Linked DNA regions of Drosophila melanogaster. The protein of the gene in region 2 interacts with the protein of the main gene of each other region in a pairwise test. Each region holds a gene or a part of one and is shown on either strand. Other genes may lie near its edges.

Region 1 (4,603 bases), on a different chromosome or scaffold from region 2:
GATGGCTGGAGCCTCACCGTGTCCAACGCAACAGCTCTTGGACAGGAGTCTGCGATCACGCAACGCCCACTCGTCCATCTTCTGCGGCAGCAAGGATCGGCGGCAGCAGAACTTCGTGGGCGGAGAGCGGGAACGGGCTTCGGCCATGTACGTGGCCTGCAAGTATCTCCCGCCTGCGCTGCTCAGCTCCCCGGGTGAACGTGCTGGCATGTTAGCCGAGGCGGCCAAGACCCTGGAGAAGGTGGGCGACAAGCGAAAGCTCAAGGAGTGCTACCAGCTGATGAAGTCGCTGGGCAACGGCATTGGCAGCGTGAAGGCTTAGGATAGTAGTGAAGTACATAATAAGTGGCACGAACGTGGTGTGGATTTTCAGCAAATGAATACCCGTTTGCTATTCAAAAGAATTACAAATGCCTAGGTCTTTATAATTACGCTATTCCTCTGTTTTCCACGCCCGGTTATGCTTAGATTGTAATTTTAAAATTATTTAATATGGACATTTTATTTGTTTATTATTTACCGTACTTGTTAAACGTATTTATAACAATAAATATTTTAACAGATTTACAAGGCCTTTTATTGGTTACCGGTGCATGCTCCTAATTTGTTAAATATGTACATAATTCATGGAAAACGTATTAGTAGCGTATGCAATCTTTTTCCTTATATAAAATGAAATATTCTTCCATTCGCGTCGGTCATTTTGCGTCGGCGGAGTTTTGTTAGTCGGGTGCATCACAGGGTGAGCTACCAAGCACTATATATATATATACAAAAACAGAATGTATATGTATAATAATAATACACACAGAAAATAATATAAATTCCTCAGGCACACTTCAAGGGAAAAAATCTGTGAAATGGAAAACTTGCTGGTAGAGTCATATTACTTTAGCACTGTGCTTAGTTTTTTTGGTATGTTGTCCTTTTGTTCAGCATGGACAACCTTTTAAAAAATATAGTTAGCTCAGCAGTTCTTCGCGGACTCGCATGCCACTTGTATTTTTTGGCACCCGGCGTTTGATTTTCGTCTGGAAACGGTTCATCCAATGCCATTAATAATCATGGACTGGCACAGATGGGCCAATCGTTCCGATCAAGATGTTTATGATTACAAAATAAAGGAGGATGAGTTCGAGGGGAAGGGAATCCCCTACAACGATTGGACTCTTAGACTGACTGTTGCCATCGAAAGGTCGCACTGTGAGGTGAGTCTTTTGCTAAAGTAAAACTAGTCAAAGATAGTATCACACTTAGAGTAGGTATCCCGCTGACAGTGATGACATGTGGCTCCATCAAAACTCACTTGCAAGTGTTTATCATTCCTGAACTTATCTGTGAACTGAAGGGTTTTTGGTAAATTTTGGTTGTTCCAAATAATTGTGTATCCATTAAATTATACCTTTTTCCGAGTATCCGGTGTCTTAATGAAATCGAGCGTTAGCAAAAGCCGGTCTTTCCGATCCGCTCCTGCATCAGCCACATTGTCCAAAAATTGATTTACATCCTCGATAGGCATCTTCCAATGTTTTCCCAATCTCAGATGATTTAGGTTATAGCAATTTTGTACTAGCAACATAAGTTGGCGACTTGGGTTTGCAGGTGAGTCAATGCAATCCAGGGCCAGGCACTCGAGATCTTTCAACTGGCCCAACTGGGACACCGATTGAGCTGGCCAGTTATCACAGTCCAGAGCGTTGAGTTGCCTAATCGCCAGGATGTGATGCACTTGGTCACCTCTAACGCGGACGGATATGAGCTGTAGCTTTTGGAGGTTACTAACTCTTTTGGCCACCGACCTATAAAAGTCGTTGTCCACTTCTGCTGTCCAACGTGAGATTAGGCGCAGGGATCGGAGACCTTTAAATTCACCCAACTCCGGGAAGCTCATATCAAAGTTTTCGAGAGTAAGGTGATCCAAGTTGGGAAACTTATCTGCCAACAACGGGACCTGGTGAGATCTCCTGCGATCCGGTCCGAAATTGAGAAGCAGTCGCTTCAGGGAAGCCATACTTTCAAACATTTGTTGGAAGGAGGCGTTGCTGAGGTTTGGGTCGATTCCATCCAAGTCCAAGGCCTCCAGTTTACTGAAGTGCCGCAATTGATCTACTGCAATAGTAATTCAGATATATATTAAGCTTATAAAAAGGATTCTATTCACCGACTCGAATGAAGTTTAGGGAAAATAATCTAAAGTAATTTTAGATTAAGCAATATCTTTTTCAAGTTAAAATATTGACCAGAGTTAAACGATAAAAGTGTGAGTGGTATGAAACAATTAATATGAAGCGCTCGTGGTTTTCGTACTCACGCTGTGCAGATCTGGCATCGATCAGAGTGAGATTGGTTAGACTGGGTAGCTCCAGGAGGAGCTGCATGATGTGGCCCCTGTCCCCACTTTTCGGCGGCGACTCTGTAACGGCGTGCATAAATATGATGACTGCCTGTCGCAGTTTGGGGCAGTGCCGTCCCAGGAGCCCCAGAAAGGGGTAGGTAAACGGCTCATCCCAGCTACCATGGGGCACTTCGCACCTGGACACTTCGGAACCGCACAGCTGCAGCAGGAACTCCCAGTCCGGAATGGTTTTCAGAAGCCGCACATTGATTTTTTTGTGGCGCGTTCGCAAAATGTCCGTCAGTACAACCTGGAATAGTGGATGGGCCCGGCCCAGATTTAGCTGGTCCTCCAGCACATTTATATATGAAAATATCTGATGGTAGCAGTCGTAGTTGAGATCCAGGAAACCGGGTCCCCCACTCATACTCTGCGGTCTTCCGACCAGGAAGGAGAAGGGGCAGCCTAATCCCAGTTTGTCCATTGTCCTGAAACTATTTTGCAGTTCAACTGTTTCCAAGTTGATAATACGATATTTCCCGTTTTTATGCGGCTTATATCGTAATAAATCTGCTATCGATAACATAACGGAGCAGCTGATGTTAAATTTTAAGTTTGAAGACTTTTTGGTTATTCCCTTTTTTTTTTAAATTTGTAATTAATAAATTTAATTATTTTACTTTTGTATGTAAGACCTTCATAGCATTTCAGGAGCAGATTCCCGAATTCGCCAGATATTTTTATCACGCCAGCATCTACTCCATTTGGAGATCTCTGCGAAATCGTTTTATGTTCGTTTACACTAAAGAGTTTGAGGACAAAAAAGATAGTTATCTGTCCGGTTATATATTCCAAGGTAGGATAAGTGCAGTGAATTGAAATAATTACACATGCTCACCATTTGAATTGCTAGATCAACCTAACATCTTGGTAATTACTTCACAATACCTGAACTCAAGCACTTTTGAAATTAAAACGAACCGATTTGTCGGTCCGCGAAACTTTAACAAAAACCCGGAGCCTGTTGAGTTTTACATACTCCAGCGTTTCGATGCCAAGGGTACGAAAGCTACTTGGGAAACCCAGAGTGCAATGTCCAGCAAGATGCGAAACCTCAAGGGACGCGAGGTAGTCATAGGCATCTTCGACTACAAGCCTTTTATGCTATTGGATTATGTGAGTTTTAATAAGTTTTCGCTACCAGAATATATCGCAGTAATTCCAGTTATGTGAGTTAGGAAAAGCCACCATTATATTATGATCGTTTTATGAACACGACGGATGTAACCATTGATGGAACAGATATTCAACTAATGCTCATTTTCTGCGAGTTGTACAACTGCACCATTCAGGTGGACACATGTAGGTAATTAAATACATTCAACTAAAGCTTATTGTCAAGGCAATCCACAGCTGAACCATACGACTGGGGTGACATCTACTTGAATGCCTCGGGCTATGGTCTGGTTGGAATGATCCTCGATAGACGAAACGATTACGGAGTAGGGGGCATGTATTTGTGGTAAAACTCTTGATTAATCAATCAAACATTTTGAAAAGTAAACCATTCCATCGCTTTCTAGGTACGAGGCGTACGAGTATATGGACATGACTCATTTTCTGGGACGATCTGGAGTAACCTGTCTGGTGCCCGCTCCGAACCGTTTAATCAGCTGGACGCTCCTGCTCCGACCATTCCAGTTTGTCCTCTGGATGTGCGTGATGCTCTGCCTTCTGCTCGAGAGCTTAGCTCTTGGTATAACCCGTCGCTGGGAACACTCGTCGGTTGCGGCAGGCAATTCCTGGATCAGTAGTCTGCGCTTCGGTTGCATCAGTACGCTGAAACTTTTCGTAAATCAGAGCACCAATTATGTGACCAGCTCGTATGCTCTAAGAACCGTCCTAGTGGCCAGCTACATGATCGACATTATATTGACCACTGTGTACAGTGGCGGTCTGGCGGCCATCCTCACTTTGCCCACTTTAGAGGAAGCGGCGGACTCTCGCCAACGTCTCTTCGACCATAAGCTCATTTGGACGGGGACTTCACAGGCCTGGATTACCACCATTGACGAGCGATCGGCCGACGTAAGCCCTACAAAATTAAATTTATTAGTACATTTTTTAAGATTCTTATTTATGCAGCCAGTTCTTCTTGGTTTAATGGAGCATTACCGAGTTTACGATGCCAATTTAATATCCGCCTTCTCGCACACGGAGCAAATGGGATTTGTCGTCGAGCGCCTTCAGTTTGGTCATTTGGGCAAC
Region 2 (5,396 bases):
GCAATATGTGGATATGTGGTTTCTAATCGGTGTCACATATGTAAAGTTTTAAATTGGATTTAACTCATCGGTCGCCTATATATATATATATATAGAAATTAAATTGTGTAATTATTGATGTAGTTATTGATGGTCACCGTCGTTGCCATGATTGTAGAAGAGTACACAAAATACTTGAATGATATTCGAATTAACCCACTCACCGAGCTGTAAATTTCCGTTTGATATGCAAAACGTTTTTTATGCTTTGTTCGCATATGTTGATCATGATCGAGTATGAAAATGGAAGTAGTTGAAAGTCCAAAGACGCGTTAAATAAACCCAAAACACTCACATGAACTAGCCAATTCTTAAATAAAATTGACTTTTATTTTAATTATAGTGTGTTTCAGCCTAAATTCAAACCACGATGCCTCCAAATTTAAAACATTATCTGATGGGTGTTGCATATATCAACTTTTAAGCTTTCTAGACAGTAGCTAGAGTAACAAAACTCTATTCAGCTCAAATTTAATGCTCTCAACACCCAGTCGAAAAATAATATACATTGCTTTTCCGTGGTTTATAGTATTATGTAACTAGTTTATTGCCAAAATGTTACGAACTAAGCAAACACATATTGAAAGTATTTACAAGCATAAAGTTAAGCTAATGTCAATGTAGGATGCGAATGTCAGTGTAGTATTGAAATGGGGCCAATCACCACTGGGCAGGGCCAAGCTGGCTCCACTCCTCCACATACTGGGCCTGCTGCTCCAGAGCGGGGAACCACTCGACGCCACCGTAGTCGATCGCGGGCAGAGTACCCTTGTAGTTGGCGGGCAGGACGGAGGGGTCGAGGAACTTCTGCAACGACTTCATGTCACTGCCGTGGAAGTGCATCTGTTGGAAGAAAATTATTCAATGATATATTGTTATTAATATTCATTTAAAAGGAGGGGGAAATCAGTTATGTCTAATTAATATGGTTTATATAACTTGGTTATAATTGTAAGAATCAGGTATTTTACGTTACTGATAAGATTCATTCTTCCAATGAAGAGAAATTGTAGCCTACTTTTGAGGGCAGAAGGACAAGGTAGGAGTAAGTACACGTTTTACTTACCCTATTGTTCAGCTTTTGTTTGACGAAGGGCTTGAAGAGCGACCAAACCATGTTGAAGATGAACGGCTGCTTCACGAAGTGCACCTCCTTCATGCGAAGGGGCATCGCCTCCTGGATGAATGTGAGCAATCGCTTGGAGAAGCTCGGCGACAGGGCCTTCACCTGTTTCATCGACAGTCCCTCGAAGTCCATGATGCAGACCACGCCCCGCACCTGGGTCTCCTCCTCCAGCTGGGCGGCGAGATGTACCATGTAGAGCATGCGGAACATCTCATCGCTGGTAATATCGCTGGGATCCCAGAGTTTGCCACAGTTCACGATGAGCACACGACGACCCTTCTGGTCGCAGTTCTTGAGCACATTGATCACACTGCCCTTCACGAATTTCTCCTTAACCTGCTCGACCAGGAGTCCGCGGACCAGAGAGGCGTACTCCTTGCGGAAGCTGGCTGTGGTTTTCATCTGAAAGTCATTTTCAAATTAGTCAAGAGCTTAGCAAACTTAAATTTATGTATTTTATGTGAGGATAAAAAATTTTAGTCTAGGCAACCAACTTAATTTAGCTTATTATGCTACTCGTGTAGCTAATTGAAAACTTTATATTTTTAATATTTTTATAGGGTACACATTATAAACAGAGGAATTGCCTCTATAAATCTTTGAACCGATGACGCTAACTTCTTACGGAACTAGTCATTGTAACTTCATCTGTTGGCAGGTGTGACATGGCTAGATTAGAGTCCATAATTGATAAGGTATTGACCATTGGCCAGAACTATAAAATGCCCATATAAGTTATGCGGCTTCCTATGATGATAAATTTAAAAATGGCGAACATTCGATTTTTATGACCCGATTCAGTCATTCTGCTAAAAAGTCATTGAACACTCTACATGCATAAAGTGAATCCGAATCGGATCGAAATCGACCACGCTTATCAGGGTTTTCTTTGCCGGTCAGCGAGTTCAGAAGCAATAAGTTATCAGCAGACGGGAACTGTAAATGATCCTGTTGTTGGGTTTCATTTCAGATCGTATGTTGCTTCTTTTACAATATCCCATATATTACTTTAGCTAGACTATAAATGAGGTGGCCATTTTCTGGGCAAGTTTTTATGCAACCGCTTAATCATATATTATTATGTAAGAGATATGTAGATAAGGCCATGGTTATAAGCTGATGCAACTTTCTAAACTTGGGGCAAAAATGCTTTTCTTGTAGCTCTTATGCATATACAATATTATTCCCCCACTATCTAGTGCACTTGTTTGAACTTCGGTTATAGACCCCATTTCAATAGCTCTGGTTGACCGATGTTTGCTGGCGATAAGGCGTGTTCGAGAAGTTCTATACATTTGATAATCCCTCAAATGTTGAAACAAATAGACGGAGACACTTGTGTTGCCGGCGTTGATAAGCAAAAAGCCATTGAATTGTGTTTCTAAGGCGGTCAATTCATAATATACATATATATACTATGTATGCTTGCGATTTGATTGAAGCTTCAGATGATTTTCAGAGTGATGTGTAATGTTAAGCGATTATTAGTATTATGAATTGAATATTGCTGGAACAATTTAGATATTCCTTAAACTATGTTCCTTTTTTTATCATCATTGGATTCTGGACTATGTTTAAATAACTTTAAATTTGTAATTTATATATATTAAGAACTTAACGTTTGGTTATATTGCATTATGTATTAGGGAAGTTAAATGATTCAAAACATGACATTTTATGATATTTATTAATGGTGAAGTTAAAATGAAAAGTGAAGGGCACACGAAACTGAGACACTTGCATTGCTGACTTAACATTGCATTATCAGTGGCTCGCGATATGCTTTCATGGTACGCACCTTTTCCAGAGCTCCTTCGGGATAAAAGTGGCAGGCGCGCAGGAAAACTGTGAGGAAAGCGTCGTCATCCTTGTAGTTCAGCTCGGGCGTGGCCTTGAGCAGTTCCCGTAGCTTGATGATGGCCTCCGCCTTGACTTCTTCGGTTTCGCGGAGTTCCACACGGGCGATTTCCACGGTCTCCGGCTTCAGATAGCCCAGGCGCAAGTGAAAGGCCTCCTCGGCGATATCGGTGGCAGCCATTATGTCGCTTGGTTTTTGTTTTTATGTGTCGGGGCCTGCGTGTTGGATTCGAGAAATGCGTTCTGTGTTAGTTTTTCCTAATCCACTGATTGCCAGCGCAAATTGCAACTTAATATGAGGTAATTTGGCACCAGCACTTTCGGATCGATTTGTTTAAACAATCTTGCCCGATCATTTGGGTTAGAAATTGGTTGGTTTTTTTTTTTCTTTTCTTTGTACTTGTATTTACCTAAGGCGAAGTCAAACGATTTTCACTTATTGAGGGTTTTTCAGCGTTCTTTAGTTTTGCTTCCTCGCGACTCGTGCGATTCGAGTCAACTGAAATTCGGTTCGCCTTTGGAAACCCTTGTGAGTTAACTTCTATATTATATATCAGCCGAACGACAGCTTCGACGTCGACGTCGATGATAAAGCACGCCGTGGCAGAGGCGATCGCAGTCGTCTTGGCTCGACTTCCATTTTCGTTCCTTATCTTTTAGACAAATGGCGCTGAGCGAAATACATATAATAACAACAATAATCAGAAAAAAAGGTCACCAATCCGGCTGTCAATCACCTAACGCCTTTAACCCTCCGGCATCTGCATTGAACCCTCTAGGCCTGAAATCCGACTTTCGACTCCGTTTAAAATTTTGGGTAATTTCGTCATTGATCGTGATGTTTACACGCGCCCGGCGTCATGAACCTTAGTTTAAATTACCTTTACCTCGAACTTACCCTTGCTACACTCCACTTTGCAAACTCAGCGTCTGGGGCACGTAATAAAAAAGACAAATTTGTACAAAAAAAGCATAAATATCAATTAGCAACGAAAAAAAAAAAATGGTTGAACCAGCCTATTGACAGCGGAAACAGCGCACTGTTTTATAGTGCCTCTCATAATACCTGTAAGGCATTAAGATAATGCGAATAATATTGCTTTGAGATACCCTATAGCTAGTACAGCTAGTTCAACTGCTGGAATATAAGATAACTATATAATATATAACCTTTTATGTTGTATGCCGGCTTGAAATTATATCGGGTGGTTTTTAGTTATTTAGTACTAATCAATACTCAAATATTGTAAGATATATTATTAAGACGTTGAATGTCTGACTCTACATCAACCATATTAACCCTAAATGGTACTATTTTTTACAGGGTATGCAAACTACTTTCGACTAAAGTCCAACGCGGAATTCTTGAGTGATAACAGCTCCCCAAAAATATTCTGCTTCCAGGGCTATTATCGAATGTTTCATGTTCTAATGGAAAAAGAAGTCCCAACCATTCTAATCACAGCTCATAATCCTTATCACTGGCAGCGTTGCTAGCACCGATAGTCTTTCTCTTTCGGTTTGTTTTACTGAGAAATATTGCTTTTATTGCCAAATCCACGGCGGGTGGTGGTAGGTAGGTAGGTGGTGGTGGGTGGTGGGGGCTGGATCTTCGTCTTTTCACACCTTCGGGCCATTGAATCGGTTCGCTGATCGCGAATATCGAGCCGTTATCATTGTTAGCCGCTTTTGTTGCTGCATTCCATATTGTTATTATTGGTACGTGATCGGGTCTTTGTTTTGAAATTCATGTTCCAAACACAAAACCCCTTTGGTAATATCCACTTATACATACGTGTTCTTACAAATTCAAGTACAGTGAACGCTCGAGAACAAGAAAATATTTTTATTTCTTTGTTATATAATATTAAAATGACAATATATATCAATTAAATCAAAACCAAAATTGTTAAAAAATATGTATACAATTTTAATGAAAACCTTTATGCTGGGACTAGTTCGTGGTTTTGGTAAAACACTGTATCTACAACTGCCATATAGTGTAGTCATAGGGCAAAGTCTTCACTTCTGATACGATTTGTTGTCGAAGCTCAACCCGCTACTATTTTCGCTGTTGTTTCTTTGTTTTCGATTTGTTATTGTTTTCACTTATTTGTTACTAAGTTATTGATACTGCCATTGGTGCTGCATCAGCTGGTTTATTAAGCTTCTGTTTTGCGTTTTGTTGATGAGCATTTAAATGCGTTCAAAAGATTGAGATACTTGTTTGGAGTGTGCAGGTTCGATTGACACTTTTATTTGCCCACGAAAAACATTGAAAAGATTCCATCAACAAACTTATCTCGAGTTCTGCGGCTGTAAGGAAATAGCTTATATTGAATTTTATACAGTGACAGGGCATTATTAAGTAAAG

The links. The genes of interacting proteins can lie anywhere in the genome.
Region 1: the proteins of CG5958 (region 2) and CG14102 interact in a two-hybrid assay, tested with the Drosophila melanogaster proteins (one large-scale study listed by BioGRID).

Annotation. Positions count from the first base shown.
Region 1 is NT_037436.4:19,798,418-19,803,020, forward strand, and holds CG14102 (uncharacterized protein), read right to left. Parts: upstream 2,875-4,603; 5' UTR 2,820-2,874; coding exon 2,312-2,819; intron 2,110-2,311; coding exon 1,403-2,109; intron 1,343-1,402; coding exon 1,232-1,342; 3' UTR 1,209-1,231; coding exon of another isoform or gene 967-1,208; 3' UTR 916-966; coding exon of another isoform or gene 861-915; 3' UTR 558-860; downstream 1-557. Other genes in the region: SREBP (sterol regulatory element binding protein), read left to right, coding at 1-322; Ir76a (ionotropic receptor 76a), read left to right, coding at 861-915, 967-1,208, 3,029-3,191, 3,249-3,511, 3,574-3,697, 3,749-3,857, 3,919-4,423, 4,481-4,603.
Region 2 is NT_033779.5:7,429,974-7,435,369, forward strand, and holds CG5958 (uncharacterized protein), read right to left. Parts: upstream 3,544-5,396; 5' UTR 3,433-3,543; intron 3,239-3,432; 5' UTR 3,204-3,238; coding exon 2,964-3,203; intron 1,568-2,963; coding exon 1,106-1,567; intron 883-1,105; coding exon 700-882; 3' UTR 557-699; downstream 1-556.